Linked DNA regions of Callithrix jacchus. The protein of the gene in region 1 interacts with the protein of each later gene in a pairwise test. Links are inferred from orthologs where the notes say so. Each region holds a gene or a part of one and is shown on either strand. Other genes may lie near its edges.

The links.
Region 2: the proteins of KAT5 (region 1) and APBB1 interact in binary tests that used the Homo sapiens proteins (3 or more experiments, as listed by UniProt). The link is inferred for Callithrix jacchus from reciprocal best matches to the Homo sapiens genes KAT5 and APBB1.
Region 3: the proteins of KAT5 (region 1) and STX11 interact in binary tests that used the Homo sapiens proteins (3 or more experiments, as listed by UniProt). The two-hybrid records come from large-scale screens. The link is inferred for Callithrix jacchus from reciprocal best matches to the Homo sapiens genes KAT5 and STX11.

The regions. Positions count from the first base shown.
Region 1 is NC_133511.1:122,803,478-122,807,223, reverse strand, and holds the start of KAT5 (histone acetyltransferase KAT5), read right to left. Parts: upstream 2,332-3,746; 5' UTR 2,313-2,331; coding exon 2,135-2,312; intron 1,808-2,134; coding exon 1,739-1,807; intron 1,650-1,738; coding exon 1,513-1,649; intron 1,249-1,512; coding exon 1,066-1,248; intron 977-1,065; coding exon 902-976; intron 793-901; coding exon 718-792; intron 1-717. UniProt on the Homo sapiens protein: Catalytic subunit of the NuA4 histone acetyltransferase complex, a multiprotein complex involved in transcriptional activation of select genes principally by acetylation of nucleosomal histones H2A and H4.
Region 2 is NC_133511.1:72,104,901-72,108,646, reverse strand, and holds the start of APBB1 (amyloid beta precursor protein binding family B member 1), read left to right. Parts: upstream 1-1,373; 5' UTR 1,374-1,482; intron 1,483-3,746. UniProt on the Homo sapiens protein: Transcription coregulator that can have both coactivator and corepressor functions. Adapter protein that forms a transcriptionally active complex with the gamma-secretase-derived amyloid precursor protein (APP) intracellular domain.
Region 3 is NC_133505.1:150,902,892-150,906,551, forward strand, and holds the start of STX11 (syntaxin-11), read left to right. Parts: upstream 1-726; 5' UTR 727-932; intron 933-3,660. UniProt on the Homo sapiens protein: SNARE that acts to regulate protein transport between late endosomes and the trans-Golgi network.

The DNA.
Region 1 (3,746 bases):
GTGCAATCTTGGCTTGCTGCAACCTTCACCTCCGGGCTTCAAGAGATTCTCTGGCCTCAGCCTCCGGAGTAGCTGGGATTACGGGTGCCTGCCACTATGTCTGGCTAATTTTTTTTTTTTTTTGAGACAAAGGCTCACTTTTTTCCCAGGCTGGAGTACCAGTGGTGTAATCTCAGCTCACTGCAACCTCCACCTCCGGGGTTCAAACGTTTCTCCTGCCTCGGCCTCCCAAGTAGCTGGGATTACAGGCGTGCGCCACCAGGCCCAGCTGATTTTTTACTTTTAGTAGAGATGGGGTTTCACCATGTTTCACTACCATGTTGGACAGGGTGGTCTCAATCTCTTGACCTCATGACCCACCCACCTTGGCCTCTCAAAGAGCTGGGATTACAGGTGTCAGCCACTGTGCCCAACCAATTTTTTTATTTTTAGTAGAGATGAGGTTTTGCCATGTTGGCCAGGCTGGTCTCAAACTCCTGACCTCAGGTGATCCACCCACCTTGGCCTCCCAAAGTGCTGGGATTACAGGTGTGCACCATGGTGCCCAGCCCCAATGATTCATTTGAACCATGTTCTGCCTGGCTCCTAATCCTACCAACACTAGCCCTGCCCAGGTCCACCACCCCTTCATTTTTATACTCATCACTAAATAACTCTCCACCCTGCCTGCATCCCTTCCTTTTCACGCAGCTCCCTTCTGCTGCTCCCCAGACCCACCTCATCAGTGCCCAGACAATTTGATTTTCGCTTCCGTCCTGGCTGGGCTGCCACTGCCCTACGTGCTGCTCCATTCTGCAGATGAGATACCAGGAAAAGAAGGGATGACTGTGAGATGAGCTTGAAAAGGGCCACCAGAGGGCAGAAGAGAGGAAAGGAACAAGAAATGGTTTGGGGAACTCACCTGGGGAAAAACCGAAGCTGGGGCTGTCTCACTGGGCACTGGAGTTGCTGGTGAAACCACCTCCACCTTCCGTTTCTGCAGAGAGAAACCAACAAAGGTGGGTCAGAGGGTAGAGAAGGTGGGACCTGAGAAGAAAGCAAGGTCCCTGGAATTGCTGAGGGTACCGTTGAGCGGTGGTTGGGCTGCAGGCAGGAGCTGGAGGAGAGCGGCTGGTCAGGCTCGCCACCGGGAATGGCCTCCCGCTCCTTGGGCAGGTTGAAGCGGAGTGTGATCTGGACCGGGATTGGCAAGGTCTTCCCGCTGGCCTGGGCCGAGGCCGGCTGTAGAGATAGGTCCAGGGTCTTCCTCTGGGGCGGGGATGGCAGTGGGATGGGGAAGGGGAAGAGGGGCCCCTCAGCTTAAAATTATCAAACCCCACCCTCTGCCTTCTGAAGGACACAGGACTAACTACTGGACTCTGGGAGCTACATGTGCAATTTGGCCCCCATCTTTTGCAAGCTGAAGTCAGGGTAAGAGGATGCCGCCTCCTGCCCATCCAGGAGCCCCTAAATGCCAACAGATAAGAGAAATAGGAGGCAGGAGAGATGAGGTGAAGTGGGGGACCTACTCACCACCTCTCTCTCTGGAGAGCCGGGACGGGACCCAGGAAGTCCGTTCTTGGTGGGGGTCTTGGCCTCTTTCTTGGGGAACTGGATCTTCTTTAGGTCCAGCCGCTCGTGCGTCACCCATTCATCCAGACGTTTGTTGACTGTAGCAGTGGGGATGGCTCAGGAAGGAATGCCAAAGACTGCCCCCCAACCCCCTACCCTGCTGCCCCACCTTAGGCCCAGAACTCACAATCAATGTAATGGACGTAGAAAAGCTTCCGGCCACTGATGTCCTTCACACTCAGGATCTCGGCCAGTGCTATGGGAACAGCATAGGCAGGGACCTTAGACGGGCCAGGCCATGAGACTCCACCCTTCCACGACCTGAACTCCACCCCCAGGCCGGATCCCTAAGCTGCAGCACTTGGAAGGTCTCATCCAAGCCTCCTTCAGTCACAAGTGCCACCCCTTTCCAGACCCCGCCCTGTACCTCTCATAGCAGCTAAGAGCCACGCCCCTTCATCGGAGTGTCTGAGCCCCGCCCGCCCCATAATTCCAGAGGCCCCTCCCCATCCCGGGGGTTCAGTGGACTCCCTCCCGCCCCTCGCCCTCAGGTTCCTTAGCCCCGCCCCCCGACGTCACTCACGCCACTCATCTTCGTTGTCCTGGTTCCGCCGCAGCACGGGTAGGCGGCAGCCCTCGATTATCTCCCCCTGGGGAGACAGCGCGGCGCCAGGGTCGGCTACTGGGGGGCCTCGGGCTCTACCCACCTCCCCTGGCTCCCTCCGCCCCGCCCCAGGCACCGGACTCACCACCTCCGCCATCTTCCCTCCCTCCACTGCCACTTCCGGCCCCTCTGGGAGACGTCACTTCCGGAACTGAGTGCTGTAGGCTTGGGCCTCACGAAGCCCCTATAGAGGACCTTTGAGAGACACCGCCACCCAGCTGCCAGCGGCAAGACTGCCCCTGTGGCTTGGGGGAGAATGTGGTGTTACAAGCCTCAGACCGAGCCCTAAGTGGAAACCCCACAACGTGCACAGCGATTGGAGAACTACTGAGCCCGTCACCTGACGCCCACCGCGTGCGACGCTGGTCACGTGGATGCGGAGCGGGTCACGTGGCAATATTGTTTGGGCTTTGACAGAGGGCGGTGCTGGGGCGTCTCCTCGTGGCGGCGGGAGGTATCGCCGGGAGTGAACTGCTAGTGCTGAGCTACGGGCCGAGAGGCTGGAGGAAGGGAGTGGCTTTAGAGGGGCTTCAACGCTCTTCCAAGTCTGTGGACTTCATTCCATAGGCAGGAGGATTCAGGGAATATTCCTAGCTTTATTTTGTATACTACGCTTTTTTTTTTTTTGAGACGGAGTCTCGCTCTGCAGCAGTGGCGCGATGTCGGCTCACTGCAACCTCTGCCCCCTGGGTTCAAGCGATTTTCCTGCCTCAGCCTCCCCTGTAGTTGGGACAAAAGGCGCGGACCACCATGCCCAACTAATTTTTGTATTTTTAGTAGAGACGGGGTTTCTCCATGTTGGCCAAGATGCTCTCAATCCTTTGACCTCGTGATCTGCCCGCCTTAGCCTCCCAAAATTCTGGGATTACTTGAGGTCAGGAGTTCAAGACCAGCCTGGCCAACATGGTAAAACCCCATCTCTACTAAAAATGTAAAAGTTAGCTGGATATGGTGGTGTCCTCCAGTTATCCCAGCTACTCAGGAGGCTGAGGCAAGAGAATGTCTTGAACCCAGGAGGCAGAGGTTGCAGTGAGCCAAGATCCTGCCATTGCACTCCAGTCTGGGTGACAGAGTGAGACCCTTTCTCAAAAAAAAGAAAAAGATGCTGCCCAGGCTGGTCTCAAACTTCTGAGCTCAAGCAGGCTACCCACCTCAGCCTCCCAAAGTTCTAGGGCCCCGGCCCCGGCCGTTGTTTTGTATATTAGGTTTATAATTATAAAGATAGTATGTGTGATACTCATCATACATTCAAAAAATATTTAGGGACCCAAAACATGTGTCAGACACTATTCTAGAGCCTGGAATACATCAGTGAACAAAATGAAGACTTCAGGTCTGGTGCAGTGGCTCACGCCTGTGATCCCAACACTTTGGGGCAGAGGCGGGAGGATTGCTTGACCCCAGGAATTACAGACAAGCCTCAGCCACAGAGCAAGACAAATGTTCAGTTAGCCAGGTGTAGCAGTGGCCCTTGCCTATGTTCCCAGCTACTCGGGAGGCAGAGGAGGGAGCACTGCTTGAGCCCAGGAAT
Region 2 (3,746 bases), about 51 Mb from region 1:
ATGTGTGTTGTTGTTGTGGGGTGTGTGTGTGTGTGTGTGTGTTGAAGAAGTTTCTTTTTCACCCCAGAGAAACTCCTTAGATGACTAATGAAGGGGGATGTAATAATGAATTCAAGCTAGATGGAGTGGCTGATGCCTGTAATCTCAGCACTTTGCAAGGCTGAGGTGGGAGGATTGCTTGAGCACACGAGTTCTGGACCAGTCTGGAGAACACAGTGAGACCCTATCTCTACTAAAAATGCAAAAAGCCAGGTGCAGTAGAGCGTGCCTATGGTCCAGGTACTCCAGGGGCTGAGGTGGGAGGATCACCTAAGCCCTGGAGGTTGGGACTTCATAAAGCCGTGATCCTGCCACTGTACTTCAGCCTGGGTGATAGAGCGAGACCCTGCCTTGAAAGAAAGAAAAATAAAGAACGAGCGAAGATTTGGACATCTTTAGTTTTAGGCACCTTAGAGGGGGTAGTATTTAGAGGCTTTCTGGATGGTAATGTAACCCCTCATTATCCTTGATGGCCTCTGGTTTACTGATCTGACCACTAGGATGTATTCTATTATCCAAGGAGGGTCTGTAGTAAATGTTGCACCCCACCATCTTTCTTTACATCTTTACACTCTTCATTCACACTCTCCCCTTCCCTGTGAATTTCCACAGGGGAGAAATGTATTCTTGACATTTTCCAGGCCTTGATGTCAGTTTTATGCTCAGCAGCAGGGGTAGTTCAGTGTCAAGAATCACTGAAGCTCCAGTCTGAATTTGTCGCTGTGACTGCGGGCAAGTCGCTTTACCTGTCTTAATCTTAGCATTAGCCTCTGAAAAATGAGGATAAAACTGGTGATTTTACAGGGCCGATGTGAAGATTAATGCGCATCAGCAGTTTAACACAGCCCGACCCGGTGTAAGTGGTCAATAAATAGGAGCTATTATTATCAGCAACGCTGTGTCCTCAGAGCCTCCCCATCAGGACGTCGGGGAGCAGTGCAGCAGGAGCGGAGCAGGCTGCCTCCCCGGAATCCCTCCGGACGCGGCCGCGGTCCCCGCACCGCCACCGCCACCGGGGCTCCAGCTTAGTCCGCGCGTCTGCCCGCGGGGGTGCGGGGCCAGGGCCCTACGGGGCGCGCAGGGTGAGTCTGTGGCATCGTAGTGGAGGACGGCGCCGCGCTAGGCAGGGGTCCCAGGGAAGCGGCTGCAGGGATCTCTGCTGGGAGGGCTGGACCGCGGGGCTCACGGAGGGCAGAGGGTCTCCTGCAGAGCGAGGCCCCCAGGAAGCTGCGGCAAGTACCGCGCCTGCCGAGCTCGCTCCCGCGCCCGCCCCAAGATGGCGCCCCTCCCCCTCCCTCTGCGCGCGCCTCCGCCGCTCGGGGCGCGGCCCCGCCGCCCGCGCGCTCCTGGGCGGGGGATGTTGTGATGGAGAAGCCGCGGCGAAGCCCGAACCCCGCAGCCTGAGCCACCTCCGTCATCTGGGCCCGGGGCCTCGCCGCGCAGGTAGGAGCTGTCCCTGCCCCGGCCCAGCCGGGGTGGCTGCGCCCCGATCCCCAGCGGCCGGTGGACCCTGACGCCTCTTCACCGCAGTAGCCGGGGTCTCCGGGCCGGGCCCCATCCCCCATCCCCGGGCCGCCCTCCCACCGCGCGCCTGTAGACCGTCCTCTCATACCCTCCATCGCATGGTCCCCTCGGGTCCTCACATCGCCCCCTACGCTGTCCTTTACCTCCTGCCCCTCGGGGTGACTAGGGGCGGGTATGGAGGACGCGAAGCGAGGGGCGGTGGGGGTTGGGGGAGGGGAGGCCCAGGGCCGGGAAGGGGACTTGGGGTGGGGTGGGCTGGCCGGACGCTGCTGCCGCCGATTCCAGCAGGGATCCCAGGCCAGATCTGTCAAGCGGCATTCTGTTGCCCTCAGCGACCGAGGGGTGTGCCCTGGGGCGGCTGTGTCCCCAGCTCAGCCAGGGCCTAGCACTGGCAGGAACACTCATTAGGAGCAGTTTTCCCACTGCCAATTCCTAACCTGTTTTGAGTCTGCCTGTGTATCTCTTGCATTCTGAGCCCCTCCCGCTATGGTCCTAGCTCTCGCCACCCTTCAGAGTCTACGCTTGCTGTCTTCATTTCCTTACTTCCCATTCATTCTTAAAATCACTCCACTCTGTGTCCCTGACACCCACTGAAACTGTCCATGGCAAGGTCACTGGAGATCTCCTGGTGGAGAACTCCAGTGGACACTTCGCTGTTATCTTCTTTACCTCTGAATAGTATTCCGTGGGGTCTGTTCTCTCTCCTTGAAGCATTTTCCTGCTTTCTGTCCTGCAGCATTGCCTGCTTTCTCAATCTCATTTGCTTCCTTCTCTCTTTAGATGCTGGCGAGGCTCTTGGCTCTGTCCCGAGCTGTCTTCTTTCATTCTCTGTTCTTTCTCCCCAGATACTTTATTCACTCCCAAAGCTTCAAATTTCATATATATGCTAATGAGTCCCAAATATATGTATCCAGCTCAGACGTCTTTCCTGAAATCCATACTTATATATCCAGCTGCCCTCTTGACATCTCCCTGAAAGACAAACAGGAATTCCAAACCTATAGATTCCAAGTTGAGTTATTGTCCCTGGTTTTCTCTGTACCCTACTTCCAAATCCCTTCTTCCTTCAAATCTCAGAAATGGCTATTTGCCAATCTGGAGTCATGAGCAAGACTCAAGATTAACCCCCTCTCACCTTCTGCATCTCATTTCACTAAGTTCTGTCACATCCACTCCCTAAATATTTCTCAAATCCATTCATTTCACTCTTTTCCCACTGCCACCCAAGTTAATCCCAGCCACCACCTTTTTTTTTCCTTGACTCCTTTAATAGCATACCCTCTTGCCTACCTTCCTTTAACTATTCTCAACACAGCACCCAGAGTGTTGCTTTAAAAAATGCTTCCGGCCGGGCGCGGTGGCTCAAGCCTCTAATCCCAGCACTTTGGGAGGCCGAGGCAGGTGGATCACAAGGTCAAGAGATCAAGACCATCCTGGTCAACATAGTGAAACCCCATCTCTACTAAACATACAAAAAATTAGCTGGGCATGGTGGTGCATGCCTGTAATCCCAGCTACTCAGGAGGCTGAGGCAGGAGAATTGCCTAAACCCAGGAGGCGGAGGTTGCGGTGAGCCAAGATCGCACCATCTCACTCCAGCCTGGGTAACAAGAGCAAAACTCTGTTTCAAAAAAAGAAAAGTGCTTCCAATCACTTATTCATTCAACACATATGATTTGAGCAGCGACTATATGCCAGGCACTGTGTTAGGTCCTGAAGATATAATTGTGAGCAAAAGAGTTGGGTCCTCGGAGCTGACAATCTAGGAGGAAAATCAAATAAGAATAACATTACAAATGTACTAGATACCATGAAGAAAAGCTGTATGGTGCCTTGAGAACATCAAGAGCAGCAGCTAAACTGGTTTTGGGGATAGGGAGAGAGGGTCAAGGATGGCTTCTCTGAGAACACGACTTTTGAACTAAAATAAAATGGATGAGTAGAAGTTAATTCAACTTAGAGAGTAGGAGAAGAGGTCCCAGGCAGCATGGAAATCATGTGCAAACACGTTGTAGAAAGAAACCACATAATGTCTTTGAGGAATCAGAAAGAAGGCCACTGAGGCTGCAGAGCAGAGTGACCAAAGCCAGGAGCAGGGACGAGGAAGGCAGGTGCCAGACTAAGCAGGAAATTTAGGCCACGTTAAGAATTTTGTCTTAAGGGCTGGGTGTGGTGGCTCACAT
Region 3 (3,660 bases), on another chromosome or scaffold:
GCGCCTGGCCCGATTTCCCTTTTTGAATCTCACTTACTTTTCAGCCTCACCTTTGTTTTTCAAGGTGCTTACCGCCACCTGGCACAATCCACACTTTGTTTATGTCTCCCCATTAAAGTGCCAGGACCTGGAGGGGGGGTCTTGGCAGTATTTTTGAGAGCGGTGGTACCCTGGGCACACAAGGGGACGCTCAGCTAATATCCAGGGAATGATGAGCCCGTAGGGTCCTGAGGCCGACTGGAGAGGGGTTGGCCGCCGGGTTCTGGGAAGGCGGTGGTCGGCCGCTGTGTGACCGCAGGCTCCTTGCCCGCCTCCTGGAAGGTCCAGGGGGTGCAGGACCTGCTGCAGCCTCGGCAGCCACACCCACGCTCAGAGACCGCTTCCACCGTCCTCGCCGCGGAAACGCACCGGACGGCAAATGTCATCAGCGCAGCGGGGATTCCCGGGGAAAGTCCACCGCGCTCCCTGCCCTAGGAACCGGAGGATGAGCAGAGGAAGTGCCTCTGGCTGCAAACCTCCCACTCCCCGCGAGGGTCCGCTCCGCCCGCGGGAACTCCCCGAGACGTACGGGAGGTGCTGGAGCGCGTCCCCGGCTCCGGGCGGTCCCGAGCGCAGGGACTCCGGGCGGGGCGGGAACCTGCGCTCCGCGAGCCGCCGCGCCCCGGCGCTGTCATCCCGGGGCGGGGCCTTGTCCCCAGCTGTGGTCGCTTCCTAAGCGGCTAGGGCAGAGCCGGCGGCGCCCAGATGCGGCCGCGGCGGGGCGGAGCTCGGGCCGCAGTGAAGGAGCCCAGCCTCTGCCGCAGGGGACGCGGGAGGCGCCGGGAGCCGAGCCGCCGGGAGTCGCGCAACAGGTTTCCTTCCCCAACGCGGCGCCCACGGGGGACGAGCGCCCGGCCGGGATAGGGGCTTCTCGGTTCGAACTCTCGCTCCGGGTACTGGTTTGTTTTTCTGTCCCTGAGCTCCCCATTTCTCTACCTATTCCCGGTGCGCGGAGAGTGCGGGGAGGTGGGCGGGCCGGGGCGGGGACACTGTCTGGGCTCCGGATCCGCGGCGGTGCCTTAGTGGGTTTTGGTGCAGGGCCTCACGCCGCCTCTGGGCACCTTCGAGAACACAGCACTGGGTTTCTCATATAAAGCGGAATGATATTTTTTGAATTACTTTTAATTTCAGAGGCCAAGGGACTGAGAATTTAGCGCTTCATAGGAATTATTTTAGGGATACCCGTTGGTAGGCTGCCTTTATAAAGCGTCCACCTAAGACTACCTTTAAGTTGAAAGGCTGAAGTGTTTCTTTGTTATCACCTCTTCATTTCCTATTAGGGTGACTGTGTCAAAAACACCAGAATGGGTACCTCTTGACTTGAACTTGGCACTGTCACCCAGAAGCCGGGAGAGACGGAGAAATTGATAGAGCCTTGGAGCAGTCCCTTCAAAGCCCACATAAGACTTTGTTTTAGAAAAATGGAGAGGAAGGGTAGTGGCAATCCTGCGAGAACCACTCTGTCCAAGAGGGAATTCTGCCTTTTTCTAGACTCCTCTGACACCAGCTGAGCTCTGTATTACTTCCTGTGGTTCTCACGCACTTGTTTCAGCCGTTTCTCAGCAAAGGGAGGAGTTGTTATTTACGGGTATCCAAAAATGAGTCACACGGCTGCTCTCTTAATTGTGAGACTTTGTTAATGAACTTTTTGAAAAGCGAGGCTTGCTCTGTCTGTATTTAAAATGAGGCTCTAGATGTGAAATGCCTGCCCTGCTAACCTGGGGCAGTGGTATGGGTAGTGATGATTTGAGTTTTCAGTTTCCTAAGGCGCCTGATGTTACAACATGCCAGTAAAGGTCACTGGGCTGATCTAAGATAACCATTAAAATCATGTGCTTTGCCACAGAAGCCCAAGGGAAAATTAATTTCAGTATCTAGTGACCATTTTGTCCTCATTTTCACTGCATGGTAGAAATGTATCATTTAATGTGGTGACTGTAACTCTCTAAAATCAAAATATTTCTAACAATTTGTATTTACTAAATTGATGCTAAAACCACACGACGATTTTTGAAGTGGGTAGGTCCCAGCAGGAGCAGAGAAATTTAAAAGTTGAAACTCACAGGTCCCATTGTAGTGGGTAGCAGCGCTTAGGCAAGGTCTGCACAGGCTCTCAACATGATAGAAAAGGGAGCACCATCTCTACTGGAGCTGAGTTGAGCTGAGTTCAGCCCCAAACAACAGTTACCAGGCACCTTCTCTGTGCCAGCCTCTTCTCTGAACCTTGCTTGTGCAACTAGGAATAAAAGGATCCTGCTGACAAGCTGCTAGGGTAAATCTACACCCAGATGGATGTTTCTGTCCCAATATAACTCAGTAAGCTGGGTCCCAGTGTATTTAAAAATTAAACAGCCAGTTACTACCCCTAGATAATTACAGTCACCTTTAGTTCATAGTGTGACTTTTAGGAAATAGTGTGACTAAATAATAGTTTATTTAAATACACTGGAAAATCCATTATATATGTGCTAGGGTACATCTATGCCCAGAGTGAAGTTTCTGTCCCAATATGACTGATGTTTCTGCAGATCTGGGATTTGGAATGGACTGGGTCATGGCTGGAAAAGCGAGGAAGCTTTTGAGTTGACTCATTTACTTGTCTTTGTAGGCAGCCTATTCTTCATTTGATACATGATTTAAAAAATATGAATTAGAAAGGTATGGTTTTTAAAGCATTTGAATGAACCATATTTCATACTATTTAATAACCATGTGAAACTAAACTCAGCTGATTATCACCCCTGGACAATTGCAGTCACCTTTAGTTAACAGCATGACTTTTAGAAAATAGTATGACTAATTAATAGGTTGTTTTGTTTTGTTTTGTTTTGAGAGAGTCTCACTCTGTTGCCCAGGCTGGAGTGTAGTGGCGCAATCTTGGCTTGCTGGAATCTCCACCTCCCGCATTCAAGCAATTCTCGTCCTTCAGCCTCCCAAGTAGCTGGGACTACCAGCTCCCACCACAACAACCGGCTAGTTTTTGTATTTTTAGTAGAGTCAAGGTTTTGTCCTGTTGGCCCAGCTGGTCTCAAACTCCTGACTGCAGGTGAGCTGCTCACCTTGACCTCCCAAAGCGCTGAGATTGCAGGTGTGAGCCACCATGCCCTGCCTAATAGTTTATAAATTGATAACACTATATTGAGGCAAGTTTCTGATCATTGTTTTTGCAGTTCAAATCAATGTTTTTAGCACGTTATAGCCATATGAGCCCAAATGCATAAACATACTGTATCACAGTTTACTGTTGCAATTGAAATCTGCTGAGAGGCTTTTAGACTTGATGCCCAAGTATCAAGGTTTCCAAGTTTCCCCAGTTTGCTAAGATACCCAACTAGTAAAGGTAACAATGCTAAATTGGAGACAAATTGGCCTTAATTTCCAAACTTTCTTCCTCCTTTGAGACCCCTAAGGTTACTTTTTCTATGAGGAAGAAAGAGTGGAGTATATTATTCAGCATTGTACTCCCTGAATTTGGCCCAGGTTTGACTAATGATAGGTGTAAGAAAGTGATGAATATATTGATTTCATCCATAAATTTTATTGATGATTTATTTATTTCATCATTTGTTGATGAAATATGAACTTTCATATAGGAGGATGAATTTTCAGGCAGGTGGAAGG